4 linked regions of the Caenorhabditis elegans genome follow. The protein of the gene in region 1 interacts with the protein of each later gene in a pairwise test. Each region holds a gene or a part of one and is shown in the gene's direction. Other genes may lie near its edges. The genes, in order: xbx-6, syx-18, caap-1 and Y71F9AL.25.

Region 1 (6,768 bases):
CTGCTTGTTATTTTAAACTGAATAATGCTTTAGAGCTAGCAAGGAAAAATCAATCAATTCATTCGAAATTGATAAAATGGCCATTAAGGTTTTTTTTTAAATTTTATGTGTTAACACATGTGTTGGGTTTCATCATAAACTTGTACTTGGTGGAATTCAAACTATATAAGTTTAGATTTTTTGTAAATCAACACAAGTTACCAAAACTGTTCAGGCGTGATCCGAGTTTGAAGTATGGATTCTGCTAACTTAAGTTTAGAATACAATATAAGAATAAAGTTAAGAAAACAATTAACTCAAGAAATGCCGATGTTCTTAAAAGCAATTTTCAATGTTCAAGCCATAGAATTTAAGTACTTTTTTATTGACTCTCTGCTAAAAACCAAAAATGCAAAAACTTAACTGCCAAAATATGATTCTGATCTAGTTGTTTTCGGAATGACTACATTAAGCTCAAAAAATGCAATGTGAGAAAACCAAATGTCATTCTGAACTATTTTCAGATGTTCCAAACGTTTAATATCTACGGCTATACAATTGAAACTTATATTCAACTGACTACAAAGATGCAACTCGCTGAATTTTGAAACTCTCCATGATCTTAACAGAATTTTCTCGTATGACTAAGTAGAACAGAATAAAACAGAAATCTCACAAGTTATAGGGCACCTTCACTTACTGAAAAGCTGAAAAAAAAAGCGAAAAGAACTGTTCATGTTTGCCTGACGAATGACTATTAACAAATAAGCTTTTTTTCTCTTCTTCTTTCGACTCTCTTGCTCACATTTATCTTTGTTTAAATTTCAGGGCATTTGTCGTAATTCCACGAAATTTCAGATTTCAGCTGAAAAAAGTATTAGTGCTCCAGCAGGTGAATAAATTTATAAGAAACATGTTTATATTATTTTATTTTCAGAACAGAGCAATGAACAGTTTCATCCTAATCAGGCCGAAGGCCCACTGTTACAGAATAATGGTAAGTTTGGAATTAAAAACGCAAACAGTTTCTTTGTGAATATTAAACTTAGCCTATTATTAGTTACGATAGAAGTCACAACATACAGTAACCAATCCTGTTTTTTCTCCTTTATCTTCCTAGATTACGTAAATATGAAATAGATTAGATTTAAAAAACTTCCAATTTGTTCGATGAAACGGTCCATAATCGTTTATAAATATTTTAAAAATCGAACCGAACGGCACACGCGTGTTGTTATTTTTATATATATAACCTAAAAAATAGAACTTTGTAATATTTTTACGTGTTCTTTTTCAAACTTTATCTGAACTGAAATGAAAGTTTATTTCAATTTCAGCGAAATGTATTGGAACGGGAATTCCAACAAATATCGTTTTTATATCAAGCTTGATAATGGTAGGGGATTTCAAAAGCTTTTTTATTTCCGAAAACGAAAAAACAAACTACTTTTAATATATTTGAACCAGTTTCAAGCCTACTGTACGGCTTTCAAGGGAGACGCACGATAGCGCGCGATTGGGTGTCGCCCCGCGAACTATTTTTTGACGCATGCGCCTTTAAGTGTACTGTAGAAATTCTGCGATGAATTTTCACGCTTTTTTCGATTTCTCTCTTCATTTCCCTTCTATTGTCTTCCGTAGGGAATCAAAATCATACAAAGTTTTTAAAAAATTAATAAAATTTTGGATTTTGTAATCTGTTTTATCGTCTGGAATTTTTTTAAGCTTAGAAAAACTTAGTAAATTATGTAAAAGTTTCGAGATTGTTAGCATTTAACTTATTGATCATCTCACTATTGTTGATGAAATTTTTTGTTCAAACTTTTGATGTTTTCACTTTCTCCTCATCTCTTCCGTTTTTCTACAGAGATTTCTTGATCTCTCAACGGTGACTCAACATTTTTCATTCTATACAACTGTTCCCTCACTTTAAAAATTTCTATATCTCTATGATATAGTTTTTCTTTCGATTCATGTTCCAGTGTTAGATGTGAAACACTGCTTTTAAGCTTCACTGCTTTTTCAAAAGAGTAGTGGTCTTCGAGCATCAACACATGCGTTTCTCTTGTTTCTCTCCTTTGGCCGAGGTCGTTGTATTTTTTGTTTGACCTGGCGAGTAAAAGAGAGACAACGTTTCATTGCTTTCTCTGTTCCTGTTTTTCATAGATTATCACGTCGTTCTTGTTCCGACAATACAAAAAAGTCACCGTTCAAACTAAAACCTACATTTTTGAATAGATGCTCTATATTGAGAACTACTTAAAACTCTTGTTTTCTGGTCGACATCGATTTTTTTTTGACGAGGCAAACCCCGACCATTGCAAACAATAGAGACGCAGATATCCAAAGCCTTGGTCAGTTTACTGCGTCTCTTCTCTCAACGAGATCTCATCACAATTGCCCGATGCTGCATTCTCGTGAAAGTGAAGAAGACGTGCCATTCTGTTGCGAAATCACACGTCTTCTTCTTCCACTGCATTTTGGTTTTTCTACTTATTTGAAGTCTAGGCATGAATGAGAAAGATAATACCCGTCTCAGTTTTCGAACGAAGAACGTTGAGCGTATTTACTTTCCTATCGACAAATATGAGTACATTCGTTCTTTCTGCTCGAACGCTAAAAATTCGTGCTCTAGCAACACCAGAAAGTACCGGAGTTTGAGTTATTTGTAACTGCATCTGAAAATCTTTCTATAATATTTTGTCTTCTTAAAAATCCGAGCACCAGTATAAAACACACAATTTTAATACTAAATCTGTAGAAGCTCATCTTTTTAAACTAAAATATGACAAATTCTTCATTCCTGAAAACAATCAAATTATTTTCATCTTCTCAACCATTCTAATCCTTCAATCTAGATATGACTTTCCCTCTAAGCCTTAAAATAATCTTATTTCTTCCTATAACTGACGCACATTTCTCTAGCTACTAGAATTTGTCTGAAAACAGACGAGAAATTCCCCTCGTGAGCTGGAGAACCATGTTTCCATGGAAACTCGAGTAATGTGATAAACAACTGGGACTTTTTAAATTGCCATTTCCATGAAATTCTATACTTTTTTGCTTCTATCTCACTTGTTGACTACATTTTATTCTTGTATTTTCGTTTCAATAATATTATTTAATTCCAGATATGTCGTACAATCAACAGCCATACAACCCGGCTTATCAGAATCCCTACCCCAATCAAGGCCCTCCGCCACCAGGATTCAATACAGGCGACGGACAAAATCAAAATCAAGGTGAGAGATTTTTTAAAAACAAAATAAAAAAGTCAGCGATATCAGAAGTTAGACATAAATTAAGAATATTTTAACTTCCAAAATAAATAAGTAAAGAAGATATCGAAACTTTTAGCAACTAGCTCTTCGATCAATAAATTTGATCATTTTTTAATTGTATTTTTGTAATGTGACGTCATTAATCGAAATACCAAAGGAAACCCGAAAAAAAATCGACAAAATTTGTTAATGCGCAAGGTGGATTTTTTTCAAAAATTTTACATTGAAACGTATTAAATTATATTTTCACAACTAACTGTTTTAAAACGATTCAAAACCTCAATATTCTTAAGGTGGAGCCTATTTCTCACCACCGCCACCAATGCACGGAGCTATGTTCAATCAGATGGAAAATGGGCAACACGGTGGTGGAGACAATCCAGATGGAAAGTATTCATTCCAATTTTCTGATAAGACTGTCCGCGCTGCTTTCGTTCGAAAAGTTTTCAGTTTGGTCTTTATCATGGTAAGTAGTACTTTCAAAAAGTTTTAAATCTATTTTCAAAAAATTTTAGCTTTGCATCGTTGCCGCAGTCACTGTTATCCCGTGGGTTCATGATGATACGATGAGAATGGTCCGCAGAAATTCGGCTCTCTACCTTGGGTCCTAGTATGTACATAAATTGAAATCTTGATTAATATTTAATATTTCCAGTGTAATCTTCTTCGTTACCTACTTGTCATTGGTTTGCTGTGAAGGAGTTCGTCGTAAATTCCCAGTTAATTTGATTGTCACTGGAATCTTCGTAAGTTCATTTTAATATAACAAGTTTCCCTTTATCAATCCAAAAATCGTTTTCAGACTCTAGCAACTTCAGTTATGACCATGGTCATTTCAGCTCATCATGATGCTAACGTGGTTCTTCTGGCATTGGCGATCTGCATTGGATGTACGTTCTCCATTGTCATTGTCGCCTCTCAGACGAAATTCGATTTGACTGCGTAAGTTTTTTTTTAAATCAAATCTTTTTTTCAAATGCTGTGCTAAACCTGCAATAAGCGGATTTATACTCTAACAAGCACCAATTTTCTGAAATTTAAGGTACCTAGGTTATTTAGTCGAATTTGAAACTAATTTTTAATATATTAAATATGTTCTGACAAGATGTACGCAGATTAATTTTTGTAAATAGCAAAATTGGCAAAAACTAAACTTAGTTCAGAAATTAGAATGATGACGAATAATTTATAACCACTGATCTTCAAAAAATATATCCGAAATACTAAATTTTCAGCCACATGGGATATATCTTAATCATCTCAATGTGCTTCATGTTCTTCGGACTTGTTGTCGTGATCTGCTCAATGTTCTTCAAGATCAAGTTCTTGATGATGGTATATGCTCTCGGTGGTGCTCTTATCATGATGCTCTACCTCTTCCTCGACGTTCAAATGCTGATGGGAGGAAAGAAATACGAAATCTCACCAGAAGAATATATTTTTGCTTCTGTTCAAATCTTCATTGACATTGTCCAGATGTTCTGGTTCCTTCTCAGTTTGTTCGGATCCAGGTAAGAAATTCATTGGGAAACTTTGAAATTTAGCTAGACATTCTCAATAAACCCTCTGGTTATTTCCAGAAACTGAATCTTCTATTTCTCTATCACATTTCGTGTGGTAAGGCGGTTGAGTTTGTGGTATTTCAAAAGGCACGTTTACTTTTTAGATTTTTTTGTGTCATTGTTCACTAACGCTGTATTAGTAACATTGTGCCAATTTAAATGAATGTGTATTATCGAAAAAATACGATCGCACAAATTTCTCATAATTTTTTTTTGATCTACGCTGTTGACTAGGCTCCTCCCCCAATCTTGTTGCCGCTGTTATTTTGTTGTGGCTGTCTTGTCGAAGGAAGGGGAGGAGCCTAGTCAACAGGGTAGATCAAAAATAAATTATGAGAAATTTGTGCGATCGTATTTTTTCGATAATATGTGAATCATTTGGTTGATAAAAGCAACAATTTTCAGTTTCTATGTTGTGAAAAGCTTTTTATCAACTTGTAAACCTAATTATTGTATTTTTCAGCGACTAAACAACGGCCTTCACCCGACTTCATCGATTCTCGATTCTTCAATTCCTTCTTCTTTTTCTGTTCTATACTAGATTCCATGCCTAATTTACACACTGGTAGTTCACTTTGTTCTTCTTTGCCTGTCCCCTGCTCTGTCCCTCACCCCGAAAAATTTCTAACAAAAAGAAACGAAAACTGCTGTTGTTTAAGATGTCTCGTTCGCTACTTTCCCGCTTAAACTCGTAATTATTTGTGAAATGAAACTTAATATATATTTTTGAATGAAATAAAACATGTATTTACAGCAAACAATAAAACATATAAAAATGTGAAAAGATCTAACGACCTCTTCCAAAGATGTTGAGAAGCATCAGGAAGATATTCAGAATGTCCAAAAAGATTTCCATCGCAGCAAAAATGTAATCTTCTGGTGATAATTCATATTTACGACCACCCATCAGAAGTTGTACATCAATAGCCAAATAGAACATCATTAAAAGAGCAGCAAGTCCAGAATAAACGGAATAAAGGAATTGCCAATTGAATGCCAAAGTGAAGATGAGTGCAAAGATTCCAAATGAGAAAAGAACCATTGAAAGCATGAAAGCGATTCCCATTTTGCTCGTCAAATCTGATTTCGTTTTCATCGAGAAAATAATGACTGATCCACTGCATACTGTGGTGATACATAGACAAATTAAAACTGATTGAACATTATAACAAGCAGTAACAAACATTGTCATGACTGCTGCCGAGAGAGTCTGAAATATACAATAATTTTAGATTTCCTTTTACGAAAATTAACACATGTTTCCAGCAATCCTACCGTAGCCTACCCTATCTCAAAGCACATTAAGAATTCTGAAATATCCAGAAAGAAATTGAAGTTATCTTGTCAAGAATGTTCATGGTTATACATATATTTTAAAGAAAAAAAACTATTGTCCACGAGGTGTCAGAGTGTCCCATGTCGGTTTGATCTACGTAGATCTACAAGAATTGCGGGAATTTAAACGCAGACTTCTCAACTGATTTCGCATCATTAAGAGCGTGCTGACGTCACATTTTTGGGAAACAATTCCCGCATTTTTGTAGATCAAGCCGTTATGGGACAGCCTGACACCACGTGATTTTAGTGGTTAAAATTAGGAAAATAGAATTTAAAGCGGCCCGGGACTCTCTAAAATAATGATTGCGTTTTTGGAATGTGATAGAACCTTACAATACGTTTTGTAACGTTTTTATTTTCTTCCTACTAAAAACCACTTTTTAAAAACCTTTTTACTTAAAAACTTACGAAAATAGTGAGAAGAATGATATTGACTGGAAATTGCCTTCTCAAATTACCACAGCAAGACAACGCAATTGCAACAACCAAAAATACAATTCTGAAATTTATATTATCATTCGAAGATAATCAAAACTCTATTGTAACTCACATCGCAATGAAATATACCCAAAAGTTGTTCTTAACCCAATCCTGAAACGGTTCTGATA
Region 2 (5,874 bases), 3.1 Mb from region 1:
TTTCAAAACTATTCTCGGTAAATACTACCTCCCTAATTGTGTTTTTGTCTGTACACAATACAACAGACATTCAATTTCCTATCTAGCCATCCCCCAATCTTCCCTGTTCTGTTTTCTGTCTGTGTCTTTTTTGTTGTCAGCTGATATGATGGACTGAGTCAGCACTTTTTTAATATTGTTTTTTTTTCTGAATTTCGTAACTTTATCTTGGTTTTTCCGACATTGTTGCCCATAGTTATTCTTGCATTCTCCAACAACACAGAATGATGAATCGCTGCCACATTTTTTTGACAAATTTATTGTTCAGTTCGGGTATCTCAGCAACCATGACGTGTGTTCAAGTATTTCATTTTTTCTCCCTTTCTAGGAAAATTCAAGTTGAATTTTTATTCATTTTGAAACTTCCTCTCATCTCTCGAAGATATGCCTCGGGCTTCAAATTCGTAGTCCACCCGTTGCACGTAACCTGCTGAAAACTTCCTTGTATTCAGTTCTCTCGTTTCGTTTTGTCTGCAAAAGAATTTAGCTCCATTTGTGTGAAATCGAGCAAAATCATGCGGCTAGAGAAAATAAGAAAAAAAAACGAAAGAGAACTGGAGCGTGTGCATGGGACATTCTCCTTTCTTCGCCTTATTCTTCGTCTCCCATTATTAGTTTCGCCTCCCACAATTCTGGCTGCAAAGCAATAAAAAGTGGCTTCGTTATTTGTCTGGAATGCGTCCCACTGTATGTGTTGTCTTCTATTTAATACAAGTTATAACCTCCACTCGCTTTTTTTTTTATTTTTTGACTGCCTCTTGGTAAAAACGTAATCATACAACAGCAGTGAAAACCAGTTTTTTGAAAACCGTCCCGTCATTTTTTTTCTATTTATCATTTCAATTTATTTATTAATCGATGATTGAAAGTGAATGGATGACGGTCATGACCGATTATCGATTATCCCGAAATAGAGATGCGCGTAGGTCATAATGCCCAGTACGCAAAATGTTTTATCGGTGTTTGCACAGATTTCGCAACATCTCTCATTGAATTTCCATTCATCGCTTCGTCATCTGACCCCATTTCTTATTTTTTCATCCTTTTCCCTGTTCTCATCGTTCCTTACTATTTTCCTAATTTCAGAACATCGCGATTTTATAATTTCGTTAAATATTCGTAATCCCGTTATACAAAAATAGCTAAATTTTCTAGTCGTTCTCGTTTTTGAGAGGGCACTTTAGTCCGTCATCGTGTCGCTTGTCGTGCTCAATTTTTCATGCATAAATGGGCGTCGCCGTCCCCCCTGTCGTTTTCTTCCTTTACCTCACTTTCCAGTTCTGAATTCCGATACGAATTTTTAAATTTTTCTAACTCGCTTCATTTCAGGGAACAGCCGGATAAGACCATCTTGACGACATGGACGCTCAAGGAGATGCCGGCGCACAGGGAGGAAGTCAGGGCGGACCACGACCATCCAACAAACGTCTCCAGCAGACACAAGCTCAGGTTGATGAAGTCGTCGGAATCATGAAGGTAAGATTTTGAAATGTGCAATTAAAATAACAAAAATCGCAATTTTTGAAATGATCCCATTTACAATTTATAAGCGTGTTAAATTAATCTTAATTCCCCTTTTTGCAATAAAATCACGAAAAATAGTTTTCAGGTGAACGTGGAAAAAGTTTTGGAGCGTGATCAGAAGTTGTCTCAACTGGACGACCGAGCTGACGCTCTCCAGGAAGGTGCTTCACAATTTGAGAAATCTGCGGCCACCCTGAAGCGCAAGTATTGGTGGAAGAACATCAAAATGATGATCATCATGTGCGCTATCGTCGTCATTCTTATTATCATCATCGTTTTATGGGCTGGAGGAAAATAAGTACACGACCTTTGTCCCGGATAAAAAAATCCCCCGAAACGCTGTAATTTCTTTCCCCCAAACTTCTTCCCTTCACATTTTGCCCATTTTCATCTGTTTTCATTTTCTAAAACATAGAAGCTGAGTATTCTATTCTTATTTTGAACTTCTTCTCTTCATTGTACTATAGTTGAATTATACGTTTCCCCCCACATCCCCATCCAATCTGTCAATTTTCTTAATATTCTTTTTCTGGTTGATCGCAAATCATCCATTTCTGAAATTAATTTATTTAGGCGGCGCGATAAGCTGCGTGATCCCACATCCACATGAGCTTATCCGCGGATTCCGTCGAGCTCGTGTGTGTATGTTTTTCTAGAATTTTCCTATTCTCAGACTAACAACATGCCTTCTCATTCCCCCCGGAAATTTACCCATTAGATGCGAATAAAATGGTGTTGAAAACTCAAAACTGTCAAAATTTTTGAATGGATTGAATGATTGTTGTGTAGATATTCAGATTTAGATACTTGAAAAAAAAACAATTGTTGTTTAAATTTAGTGGGCCTGGTCTTTTCAGAATGACGATATTTCAACCTCCATTTATCGATCGATCACAACAGTTCAAAGAACTTGCCACATCAATCGAGCAAAAGCACATTAGACGGCACAATAAGCCACCGGGTGAGGAAGAATTTGGATAGAATATTTAATAAAAAACGTTAAATATCGGATACTTCAAGTTTTTTGACACATCAACAAATCAGAAAAAAAATTCTGCAAAAATACCATTTAAGATTTTTTATGGAATATCCTTTAACAAACTTTTCAGATAAACTCGTTTTTGCCATAAAACTTTGAAGCGAAATTATTTTGATGATTTAATTCTAATTTTTATAGTTCTAAAAACATTCCAAAAATGAATAATTTCAAATTTCAGGAGACTACCGTCGTGATGAAAATCGTCCATCTCCAGCATTCACCAACATTTCGAACGTGGCTCTTTCGTTTGGCGCTGAAATGTATCTCTTCCGTAAAATGCTCGCAGATCACTCACAGGACTACATTTTCGCCAGTCGTGCCTATTCTAAAATGAGCCCGATGGAACGAGAGAGCTTTGATGAAGATGTGAAAGATGTTCGCCTGAATTTTTAAGATATCTATCATTTTACATTCGATATTCAGAAACTTACTCAGTTCCATTCAATCAACGTGCAGCTCGGACATCGTGTGAATAGCAGTGATGGGCTTCGAAATGCGACTGAAAGAAGTCACCTTTCACGTGTTCAGGAAGGATTGACTGTTTATTTGAAACAAATTATCGCAATGGTTTCACTTTTAAAGTATGCAAAATTTCAAATTTCCCTCTGAAAATAAGTAAATATCTTAATTTTTAGAAAGGAGCATCTACAGCGACTCCACGCGAAGAGCAAGTCACAGAATCTAATGAAAATAGCACAAGAGGCTGGTCACGTTTACAAATATCACCGTGGTCTTGAAGAACTTGTTCATGGCTCAGAGCTTGAATTTAGTGGTGAAAATTGTTTTTCTTGTAAATATAAATTTTAAAAATTTCAGACAAGCTTACTCACAAACTTCGAGAGATTCAAGCAAAGCACCCATGTATGCAGTACATTCCGGAAGAAGTGAACAGCGATTATTATTTAGTTGAAGAAAAATCAAATGTAAAAATTCAAAAAGAAGATCTGCTAGATGGAGAAGACGCTGGTTGGGATGGGATTGACGAACTTGATGTTCTGATTGTTCCACAAGACAAACCAGTACAAAATCGTGCGTCTCCGATTATTTTTAAAGAAGAAGTTCGCAATAGGCGTCGTGATGTTGGTGGTGGATACGATGCGGAACGTGAAAGTTATGAGAAGTGGCGAGATGAGCAAGGAGAGCAGTTTGCCGTGGAATTCCAACAACAAGCTGAGCTTCGAAAGAAAGAGTTTGTAAAGGAGGATCAGGATGACGAGATTCTCAAGCTTCAGCAGCATTTAACGGAGATCGCATCTTTACACACGGTGTTTTCAGAAAAGGTATTCGCAAATTTATTTTCAAAATTTTCAAAACCAATTTATTTCAGGTTTTGGAACAAGACCGTGATGTTGAATTAATACACGATCATGCTTTACATACAACCGAAAACATTACCGACGGAAATGAATGGATTCGAAAAGCTATCACAAACTCTGGAAAACAGCGAGCATTCCTTCTATTTTCAATTGTTGTACTTTCGTTCGCACTTCTCTTCATTGACTGGTATAACCCCTAATAATTTTTTGGAGATAATTCGTATTTATTACATTTATTCTGTGGTCTACAACATGTTCAGTCTGGTCTTGTTTCATAATCAAAGAAAGTCAATAAATTTAGTGCATTCATGTAGACACTGTTGTCGCACGTCCAACGTTATTTGTTGAAGCAGGTTTTGTTTTATTACCGAAAACACCCACGAGAATTTTCTCGACACTTCCTTTTTCAGTTAACCAGTTCTTTATCAGCTTGCGGTATCCTGGAAATTGAAAAAAAATTTTGATGTTTAGTTGTACAATTGAGTTTTTTTTAAATTTTAAATTTAAGATTGCCCATTTTCTAGAAATATATAATTTATCACTATGGTTTTTCAACATTATGGGTGTTGAAGCAGTCTTAAAAGGGATACGGTACGTTAAATTTAGTTCTTATGAATTTTCACTAAATTCGTTTCGTGTCCTGTAGGATTTCGCTATAAACGTTGAATTTGTTTTTTCAATGAAATCCAAATTAAAATACCGTATCTGTTTCAAGACACATGCCATTCATAAACTTTCGCTCGTGCTAAGACACAAAACTGATCGAAAAAAGTTAAAAATCTCACCATCCACATCAACAGCCCCTCCACTGTGAAAGTTTCTATCGATAAATTCAATGCCTTCTTTGCTCATTTTATTCGGATGACTTTCATAATATTCTCGTATTTCTTTTGTCGTCACCAAGCCATTGTGATCCATATCTCTGGCCTGAATTTGAAATGCTATACAGTAATTTTAGAAAAGCCAAAGAGTGATTTCAAATGTACAAGCCGTTTGGTGTATTACACAGACGCGAAAGTTTGGCATTTTTGCGCTAAAAGTACGGTACCTGGTCTCGACGCGAAGTTTTTTTGTTAATTTTGTTAAATGTAATTTCAAAATAGTATCGCTGCTCAATTTTTGCAGACTTTTTCGATGAGAACAAAAAAATAAAAACTCATAAACTTTAACAAATCGTTAGAAAAAACTATGAAAATTGATAAAAATTCCGCTGCACCAAATTTTGGAAATTACAGTAGTTTTAAAGGCACACACTTTTTTCACATTTAACAAACATTTATCGTGCCGAGACCGGATTGGCGCAAAATTCACAAAACTCCTGGAGGTCATGGTACATTCTGGAGACACTGTTAACTATTAACTATTATTATTATAAATATACCTTAAACTCGTTCGTTATGACGTCATCTAGTCGCTGATCTGCAGTTTCACTATTCCATTGATTCTTTTTCTGGCAAAATGCGACTCCAAATAGAATAAGTAAAATAGATTGCCTCATGATTTAAAGAATCGATTCTCAATAATTGAAAAATGGCAAGTGACTTGTCTTCTATTTCTCTCTCTCCGTATTCTTGTTTCCTACTACACTTTACACACTGAAATTGAATTCATTTATTGCGTGAAAAACTGAAAAAATGATACAAAAAGACTGAAGTAGCCTGACACGTGATATGGCAAGTAATAGGGTAACCCGGTGGCAACGAGAGATGGTCAAAATGAACAATTACTCAGTAATCAGTAAAAAGTAATCACAATGGAGATCAGATGAGGTGATTGGAAGGGAGGTGGCAACGAAAAAATGAAAAGAAAAGAAAACATAAATATTTGTGTTCAGAAATAGTGAATCAAATAAGGAGAATAGATTAATTGTAAAAACAAAATATAACGAATACATACACAAATCACAGAAATATCTCGCTATCATTATCATTACTATCAGTAATCACTACTAAAGTT
Region 3 (4,763 bases), on another chromosome or scaffold:
GAAGCCTTGAAGCAACTTCTCATTGAATGTGAAATTTGCAAGAATCCAGATGAAGAGGTTGAGCAGCCGGAAGATCTTGGAGGATTGGTGGCTTCAGGTCATCGAGCTCTGATTTTCTGCCAATGGAAGACTTCGGCAAAGCTGGTCTCTGATGCTTTGAAAAGTGGAGAATTCGGAAGTGTTGTGTCGCATCTGGTCCTTGATGGAAGTGTTCCGGCAGGGGATCGCATGAAAATGGTCAACCGCTTCAATGAGGATAAGACGATTGATGTGTTGATTCTGACGACACATGTAAGAAAGATTTACGAAATAAAATATTATCGGAGAAAAAATTGACAAAAAACAACGCGGTTTCACGGACGGAAAATCTCAATTTTGGAGTCACGTTTTTTCAAAAATTTTTTTTGAAAAATTGAAAAAAACTAGTTACATTTTAGTTATTAAAATTTCAACTTTTAAAATGAAATTTTTCACATAAAATTCAATTCAAAACGGATTTTGCTGAAAATTTTCCAAAGAAAAATTACGAAAAAAGTGATATTTTCAAAAAAAAATCGTTCAGTGTTTCATCAACAAAATATCAACTTTAAAAAATTGAAAAAAAAACTTTAAAACTTGAAAATTTCAAGTTTTTCAAATTTTCTAGATTATAAAAAATGTATTTAATAAAATATCAAATTTTAAAAAATTTAAAAAAAATAGAAAATTCGTTTTTTTCTCAAAAATTTGTTTTTCCAAAAAAAAAAATCTCAAAGCAATTTTTTCTGGAAAAAATTATTTTTTAGATACACAATACTAAAATCAGTTTTTAAACAATTAAAATTTCAAGTTTTTCAAGTTTTCAAAAAAAAGCTTCAAAAAATTTATTTAATAAAATATCAACTTTTAAAAAGTAAAAAAAAAGGAATTTCGCTAAAAATTTGTCAAAAAAAGGTGAAATTTCAAGATAAAATAATTTTTTAAAAATCTCCGAGTCATTTTTTTGCTGGAAAAATGACTTTTAGATTTTTTAAAATTATTTTGTTAGAAAATTTTGCAAATACGAAAAATATTTAGAAAAAACAATCTTTCAAGTTTTTCGAATTTTCTACAATTTTTTTAACAAAAAAAAATACAATTCAAAAAAAGATTCAAAATTCTCCAAAATTCTCGCAGGTTTTCAGAAATTAAATAAACTTAAAAGTTTTTCTTTGCCCAAATTTTTTGTTAAAACGAACAAATGTTTTTTTTTTGTAAATTTCTGACAAATTAAAAAAAAGTGCAAAAATTTCAGTGAAACCCAATTTTTTTTCTTTTCCAATAAAAAATAATAAAATTTAGTCATTAAAAAGACAGATTTTTTGAAATTGAATTTCGTTTTTTTTTCTCGCAAAAAATTAAATTTAAAAACCGAAATATAAAAATTCAAAAAGTTCAGTAAGACCCCGAAAATTTTTGTTCAGGTCGGTGGAGTTGGTCTGAACCTAACCGGAGCGGATACCGTAATCTTCCTGGACCACGACTGGAACCCGATGAAGGATCTTCAAGCCATCGATCGTGCTCATCGTCTCGGCCAAACTCGAAATGTCAACGTATATCGGCTCATCACACAGGGAACAGTCGAGGAGAAGGTGATGAGCCTGGCAAAGTTCAAGCTGAATACGGCCCAGGCTTTGATCGGTGCCGATAATACATCAATGATGACAATGGAGACGGGAGAATTGATGAATATGTTCACGTTGGATGGAGATGAAGCCAAGAAGAAGCCTGGCGGTGGTGAGCCGGCAGCGAAGAAGAGTAAAAAGTTGGTTTTTACCATATATGACTTTTCTTTAAAATACCATAATTTCAGATCCACCGGAGCTCCCGAAGAAGTCGATTTGGCAAGTATGTGGGACGAGAGTCAATATGACGATTTCCAAGTGGACAGCTTCCTCCGAAACACCTAAAAAACATTCATAATCTGTATCATTTTTCTAAATTTCCACACGAGTATCATGTTCGTTTCTGCATATTCTACTCATTTTTGTTTTAGAATTTTCTTGAAATTTCTTTTATCAAATATCATAATTATTATTAGGTATTACCGATTTTTCCACCGTTTTTTCGTTTTTTTATGGGTTCAATTTTTCTCATCTTTCCCTTGTTCCTCTAGTTTTTGAAATCTGCAACATTTTTTTCAGATGCTCTCTCTAGTTGTGAAATAAAATATTAATTGATTAGAAAATGTATTGAGAAGAATTGAATTGGATTCCGTTTTTATTTTCGGTTAATTTTTTAATATCGCCATCATTTTTGTGCAAAAACTATGGTGAACGGTCTCGACGCGACAAATTTTTCTTCAGCTTAAAAATATATGCGCCTTTAACGAGTACTGTCGATTTTTCATAGTTTTTAAAAACAAAAACGTATTTTTAATTAAAATTTTTTGAAAATCGTGAGAAAATCTTTGAAAAATTGAATTAATTCCGCAGCAGCGAAGTTTGAAGTTACAGTACTCTTTAAAGGCGCACACCTTTTTCGTATTTATTTAAACATTATCGCGTCGAGACCGGGTACCGTACTTTTGGCAGACAAAACTATAATTTTCCAAACTATAATTTACAGAAAAATGCCGAACACTGCCGACCAAGTGGATCCACTTCTCGCCTCACTCTCGCATTTCGTAGATCACACGGATTTGCTCGCCGAGCACACGATGAATGCTGTCGAGTGGGAAGCTGTCGAGGTGCTGATGCCACGAATTCTACGGGTACTTTGAGACTTTAGCTGGAAAATTGAATTTTTAAAAAATCAATAATTTTCAGGGAAAATCGAAGGAAGACGTAAAGCAGCTGCTGTTAGCAGAGATTGACGGAATGTCTAAAAAGAGGTTGGATGCAGTGTTGGCTGGAGAGACACTGGAAGAATCGTCGAGCTCTGAGGATGAGGAGGAGCAAGTGATTGGCTCCGCTGGAGAATCGGAAAAATCTGAAAGCCCAGAGATCCCTGAGCCTGAAGCCAAAATGGAGGAGCAGGCTGTAGAAGCTGCAGAAGCTTCTGAAGCTTCAGATGATGGAAGAGAGGACGGTGAAATTAGAGATGATCAGGGAAACACGACGTCAACACCGCCTGATCCAGGATCCCCAAAGTCACCAGAAAAGGGAGAAGCCGAGCAACTGGACACTGATGAGGAGATTGATCGGCTGCTGGAAGAGGATCTTGAAGATTTTCTCTAAATTTTTTTTCTGTATTATCCTGTAACATTTACATCTCTTCTGACGAATACACAATTTCTTATATCTCTCTCTCATCGCCATCATCTATAATTCAATTAGGAGCAGCATATTCATGATGGGACCCGTGGCGCCATTTTTTGGAGCATTTTTCACTAAAGTCTAGGCAATCTCCCTCAAAATGAGTTCGAAACCAAAATTTCAAACTTTTAGTTTTTTTTTTTTAATTTCAAAATATGCATTCATCTATGAATAACAGGAAATGAATGTTCCTGGTATCCAAAGTCACGGGGTTTTTTGTTGCAATTTCTGTTTGAAAACCAGGTTAGTCACGGCGGAAAGTTCAAGTCTAGACTTTGAACTATTTTTGATTGGAACATTTTTGTTTCGAGTTTATTCGGGTTCATGGGGATTAATGAATCGTGTTTGGTAATATGCCAAAAAGTTTTGGCAGATTGCAAAAAAAAATTGGTAATAAGCCACAAAAGTTTTGGCACGGTAGCTGCTCTTGCCAGGACTCAAATTTACATTGGATTTTACGCAGAAAATGTTTTTTCGATGCTTATTTTCAGAAGTTCCTGTTTCCAAATAAATGTGTTTTCGACCCAATTTTCTTTATTTTTATCCGTTATCAATCATAATCAAAAATATGGAACCCAAAATATAGATAAAACGTCGACAGCCTTCTGGAAAACTGAGAAAAAAGTAGTTGTCCCTTCCCATCCATTTAACAATCAATTATTCAAGCGCACGAGAGGTGTGAATAATTAGTTACGTATAGAAGAACTATATAGGGTGACTCAACAAGGTCTCGCATGGAAAACAAATTAAATAGATTGCTCGAGGTGTGTATTGTTTTGCTTAGTTTTCCAGAACCACCATAAACTTAGATACTGTCTTCTTTTTTCGAAATTCTGAGTCACAGCCATGTGTCGATTTACGCAGCTCGTGTACTTTATAAGGAAAAATGTGAAACCTTTTTTTAGATGAAAAATAATAGACTCAGAGAGACCAAGTGATTCTTTATCGGAAACAAATTCCTGTCATAATCCAATACAAAAAGGTATTCCTTATGTATTATTAGATTCTATTGTTCGCCACAAAATGACTAATACCGAATATTCTTATTCCTAATAAGAGAGAGCATGGGCTCTTCTTTATGTTATTCACCCATTTTTATCAAATCTTTCTTCTCGATTTCCCATGGTGATTATATTGACGTTTTGTTTTGACATATATCCTCCTTTTTAGTTTTTTTTCCACTTTTTCCAGCATTATCTGTAAATCCAATCAATTCTCGAAATCTTGAAAAATAGGAAAGCTATGTTTGTTATCTTTTTTGACGATTGACTCTATTAAATTCTTGAAGTTTAAACTCCTAACACTTTGGTAGGAATACTGTCTGGGTACTGCCGGAATCACATTACTACCGTACCACTATAGTAATCACATGATAGTTGTTAGGTGTGACGTGATTGCCCACAAGCTACACATACTACAAACTACACAAATATAACATTTCAAACTATAGTAAATTTGGAAAAAAACACACTCAATTGTCCTTTGAAA
Region 4 (4,406 bases), on another chromosome or scaffold:
ATCGTAGGTTCGAAGCCACTTTGCCGCGTCCGTATCATACTTTACAAATTCCTTCATAACATCCGGGCACACGTAGCAGAACTTTTCCTTAATCATCTTCGCCACCTCATAGCTCTGCTCGGCTGGAATTGTGTGCTCACGATCACGGAGCAGACTTTGAATGAAATAGGTGATGTCACGGCCGGCAATTGGAATGTGTTTGATACAGGAACCGATTACATAGCCATCGGCAACTGGAATACAATGGGTTACTCCGTCTCCAGAATCGATCACCTGCAAATTTTGAAAATTGCTAGAAGTCTCAGGAGTCTCGAATTTGTCAATTTTTCTAAAACTCAAAGCATAATTATTTTCGGCAATTCTACAAAATGGCCATTTGTTCCGGCAAATCGACAAACTGCCGGAGTTGGACATTTCCAGCAAATCGGCAAATTGCTGGAATTGATAATTTCCGGCAAATCGGCAATCTGCCTGAATTGAAAAATTCTGGCAAGTCGGCAAATCGCCGGGATTGAAAATTTCCGGCGATTTACCGATTTGCCGAAGCTTAAAAAATTCCGGCAAATTCCGATTTGACGAACACCAAAGTTTCCTGCAAATCGACAAACTGCCGGAATTGAAATTTCCGGTACATCGGCAAATTGCCGGAATTGAAATTTCCGGCAAATTGGCAAAATGTCGGAATTGAAATTTCCGCAAATCGGCAAAAATGTCGGAATTAAACATTTCCGGCAAATCGGCAAAATGTCGGAATTAAAAATTTCCGGCAAATCGCAAAATTGCAGGAATTGAGAATTTCCTGCAAATCGGCAATTTGCCGAAAATCAAAATTTTCTGCGAATCGGAATACTTCCGGAATTGAAAATTTCCGGCAAATCGGCAAATTGACGGAATTTGAAAACTTCTGGCAAATCGGCAATTTGCCGAAAATGAAAATTTCCGGCAAATCGACAAATTACCAGAATTGAACATTTCCGGCAAATCGGCAAATTGCCGGAACTGAAAATTTCCGGCAAATCGTGAAACTGCCGGAATTGAAAATATTCGACAAATCGGCAAATTGCCGGAATTGAAAATTTCCGGCAAATCGGCGTATTACCGGAGCATTCATGCAGGCATAGGCCGCCTAAACCTCAGATTCTAAAAATCTCAATTTCCCCAGCTTCCCAACTCCACCAATTACGTCACACACCAACCATCATGACCTAATTGCCAATCTCTGCGTCTCTCAAGACAAAACCAATCTCTCCGACATGACGTCATTGTGTCTAAATACACAGAAACATGTGCCAATCTAACGAGGATTCGAGTTCTAGTAACCATTTCACTGATAGCGAGAAGGATGCCGATCTATCAGTTCAAAATGTGGCTTTAGAATCTCAACTGTGGCAATTTGTGACCGAGATGAAGGAGCGAGCGAGGATCCAACAGGAGGTGATTGAAGCTGAGAAGGAGTTGGATGAGCAGCGACGGAAGGAGAATTGTTAGATTTAAATATTTGTTTTATGATTTATCGTTGTATATTATTAATATTATTAATCAATCAATAAATGGTTTTAATGAGAGCTCATTGTCTCCTTCTATGACGTCATAATATAGCAATCGATGCACATATTCGCGTGAGCACATTGCACACCACCAGTCACCTCATTCAGGTGTTCTACAATGGTCAAGTCACTCTACATCGATTCTTGCTCCGCCGCACCAACTGAGATCTTCGAGGACCCGAGATCTCTATTCCAATTCGACGATGATTTCAATGCAGACAATGTTCAGGTGGAAGACTATTTGGAGATGCAAGCCGCCGAGGAGACTATTGAGAATGCGATGGGCGTTTATCAGGCGAATCTGGAAGTGGATCCAACTGGTACGAGCACATTTTGGACGGAAGAATGGAATGAAATAGCTGTCGTTCTCAAAAGAGACGAGCGATTCTTGAGAAGACACCGAAGGAATCCTGATAGACATTTGAATTGGGACGATGAGGATGGCGACGAGGATGATGGCGACGACGAAGAGGACACGGACAGTAATATCGACGATAAGGAAGTATGGTGGTTTCCCGTTATTCCGAGATTCAAAGATGAGAGCACATTCATCAATTTCATTATTATATGCCACCTTTTACTGACATTTTTCCTCTTGATATTACCGCATTTGTGTACGATCATCGTTCGAATAGTACCGATATTGTGTGTAATGTGCTTCCCGATGCGATAGGACGCTTTTCAAGAGCTTTCTGATTGCATTGATATGACTGAATAAAATTTTCAATCAATAAATGGGTTTTACTGTGTTCTGTGCCACCGAAAACCGTGCGGTTAATGCGTTTTCGCAACCCATGCGCGCAATTTTTCGTAAAATTACACGTTTTTTCACGAAAAAAATTGGCGAAAGGGTTGCGAAAATGCAATTATTTAGCTCCAAACCACAAAAATACGTAGTAATATCGATAACATTGTTACGCACCACTATGGGTCTCGACACGAATTTTGCAGATACGAGTGAATTGTCAACTACAAAATTGTAGAAGAACACGTAACACACTTTTTGTCATTTGACAACATCTCTGTAAAATCGAAGACAACCGTCGATCCCAGTCGATGCACCATGTTCCTTATTCCCTCGCTTTTTGAAACCCTGCGGATGGTTCAAAATCTGCAATTTTGCGGCACGGTTCTATAGGCGTGGCACCAATAACACAATCGATCGACGTCTTCGTGTACACCATGCCCTCTTCCCTCATTCAGCTAGCCGACGCCACAATGGGCAAGCCGCTCTACACCGATTCTTGCTCTCCGCCAACTGACATCTCCGAAGACCCAAGATCTCGATTCGACGACTTGGACGGCGAATTCACAGACGACAATGTTCAACTACAAAGATATCTCGAGATGGAAGCCGCAGTGGATTACATTGAAAGGGCGAGAGGAGTTTTTCGTGCGAATAAAGAGTTGGATCCAAATCGTGAAGGCTCATTTTGGACCGACGATTGGAATGAAATAGCGGAGAAGGTCAGGAGAGACAAGCAATTTCTTAGGAGGACCCGGAGAAATTCCGATGAAAATATGGGATCCAGCGTTAGGTTTTTTGAAGTGTATATTCTCTGGCCATCATTTTTCTTCCTATCCTTCATCATTCTTTTTCCACTCATTTGTAGATACTATCGTTTGTATGATGCGCGAGTTTGTGTTTGCTTCGACAAAAATCGGAATAACTGAAGCTTCAGCTGAAGTGATTTGAATAAAACTTGGCTTTTAATCATATATTTATATAAATTAATAAATATATTATTTTTTGGCATATTCCATATTCATATGTATTTAATATATATATATATATATATATATATACATATATTACGGGACCATGAGATCATGAGAATGCCTATTTACTGGCGCAAAAATATTGGCAGGCCGCGGCAGCGAGAGAGCATATGGCGAAGAGAGACGCAGGTCCCTTCGCTTCGAGAAATTTGCCGCCAGAAAAGTAAGCATTCTGATGATCTCATGGTCCCGTTATATAAATATATATATATGCCATATACCATATACCATATCTATCATAAATACCATATACCATATATACCATATATACCAAATCTACCATATATTCATATATATCATACATACCATATACCACATGTACCATATCCTCCCACATATATCATATATACTATGTACCATATCTATCATACAGTGCATTTTTTTCCACTTCTACGACTTTAAAGGGAGGCGCTTTTATGCGAAATGGTCTCGACCAGGGGTGTGCGGCAAATCTATTTTTTTGAAATTTGCCGTGCTCGGCAAATTCGCCGCACACCCCTGATCTCGACGCGGTTTTAGTCATCATTTTTAGCAGATTCTGTGTAAAATTCGTATAGATCACACGTAGATCAAAATTAATTTGTAGATCAGAGTAAAAAAGCTACAGAAATACAAAATAAGATATAAATATTTTGTGATCTATACGAAATTTACACAGAAACTGCTAAAAATGATGACTAAAGACGCGTCAAGACCATACCGCATGAAAGCGCTTCCCTTTGAAGTCGTAGAAGTGGAAAAAAATGCACTGTATATAACATGTATACCATATCCCATATATATATCATATATACAATTTATATCATATATACCGTATCTACCATAGACCATGTATACCATATATCATATATACCATATACCATTTATACCATATATATCATATACATCATATATACCATATAGCAAATATTCCTATTATAAATACGTTATACATTATTTTTGGCGTTTTTCTTGCGGGTTACGCAATTGCTAGCAGAGACGACAGATGGCACACAGGCAACATTATCGATCATTATCGACCGTAGATATCATATATATCAAATCTACCATATATTATATATATCATATATATATACCATA

The links.
Region 2: the proteins of xbx-6 (region 1) and syx-18 interact in a two-hybrid assay, tested with the Caenorhabditis elegans proteins (one large-scale study listed by BioGRID).
Region 3: the proteins of xbx-6 (region 1) and caap-1 interact in a two-hybrid assay, tested with the Caenorhabditis elegans proteins (one large-scale study listed by BioGRID).
Region 4: the proteins of xbx-6 (region 1) and Y71F9AL.25 interact in a two-hybrid assay, tested with the Caenorhabditis elegans proteins (one large-scale study listed by BioGRID).

Annotation. Positions count from the first base shown.
Region 1 is NC_003283.11:9,702,248-9,709,015, forward strand, and holds xbx-6 (Protein lifeguard 1-like), read left to right. Parts: upstream 1-3,108; 5' UTR 3,109-3,112; coding exon 3,113-3,221; intron 3,222-3,553; coding exon 3,554-3,726; intron 3,727-3,775; coding exon 3,776-3,870; intron 3,871-3,915; coding exon 3,916-4,006; intron 4,007-4,062; coding exon 4,063-4,202; intron 4,203-4,495; coding exon 4,496-4,771; exon of another isoform or gene 4,772-4,840; coding exon 4,841-4,847; 3' UTR 4,848-4,877; exon of another isoform or gene 4,878-5,093; intron 5,094-5,285; coding exon of another isoform or gene 5,286-5,292; 3' UTR 5,293-5,580; downstream 5,581-6,768. Other genes in the region: tag-120 (Transmembrane BAX inhibitor motif-containing protein 4), read right to left, coding at 5,610-6,032, 6,569-6,659, 6,711-6,768.
Region 2 is NC_003283.11:6,651,996-6,657,869, reverse strand, and holds syx-18 (t-SNARE coiled-coil homology domain-containing protein), read left to right. Parts: upstream 1-2,420; 5' UTR 2,421-2,421; coding exon 2,422-2,524; intron 2,525-2,780; coding exon 2,781-2,977; intron 2,978-3,025; coding exon 3,026-3,183; intron 3,184-3,237; coding exon 3,238-3,374; intron 3,375-3,418; coding exon 3,419-3,882; intron 3,883-3,929; coding exon 3,930-4,118; 3' UTR 4,119-4,224; downstream 4,225-5,874. Other genes in the region: snb-1 (Synaptobrevin-1), read left to right, coding at 1,399-1,515, 1,649-1,861; T10H9.8 (EF-hand domain-containing protein), read right to left, coding at 4,225-4,358, 4,704-4,845, 5,300-5,416; T10H9.1 (G_PROTEIN_RECEP_F1_2 domain-containing protein), read right to left, coding at 5,820-5,874.
Region 3 is NC_003280.10:13,213,506-13,218,268, forward strand, and holds caap-1 (Cactin_mid domain-containing protein), read left to right. Parts: upstream 1-2,586; 5' UTR 2,587-2,590; coding exon 2,591-2,731; intron 2,732-2,786; coding exon 2,787-3,197; 3' UTR 3,198-3,259; downstream 3,260-4,763. Other genes in the region: btf-1 (BTAF (TBP-associated factor) homolog), read left to right, coding at 1-291, 1,443-1,783, 1,832-1,928.
Region 4 is NC_003279.8:2,886,135-2,890,540, forward strand, and holds Y71F9AL.25 (Clathrin light chain), read left to right. Parts: upstream 1-2,765; coding exon 2,766-3,221; downstream 3,222-4,406. Other genes in the region: arx-1 (Actin-related protein 3), read right to left, coding at 1-273; Y71F9AL.7 (Ovule protein), read left to right, coding at 1,666-2,220; Y71F9AL.6 (Protein PBN1), read left to right, coding at 4,312-4,406.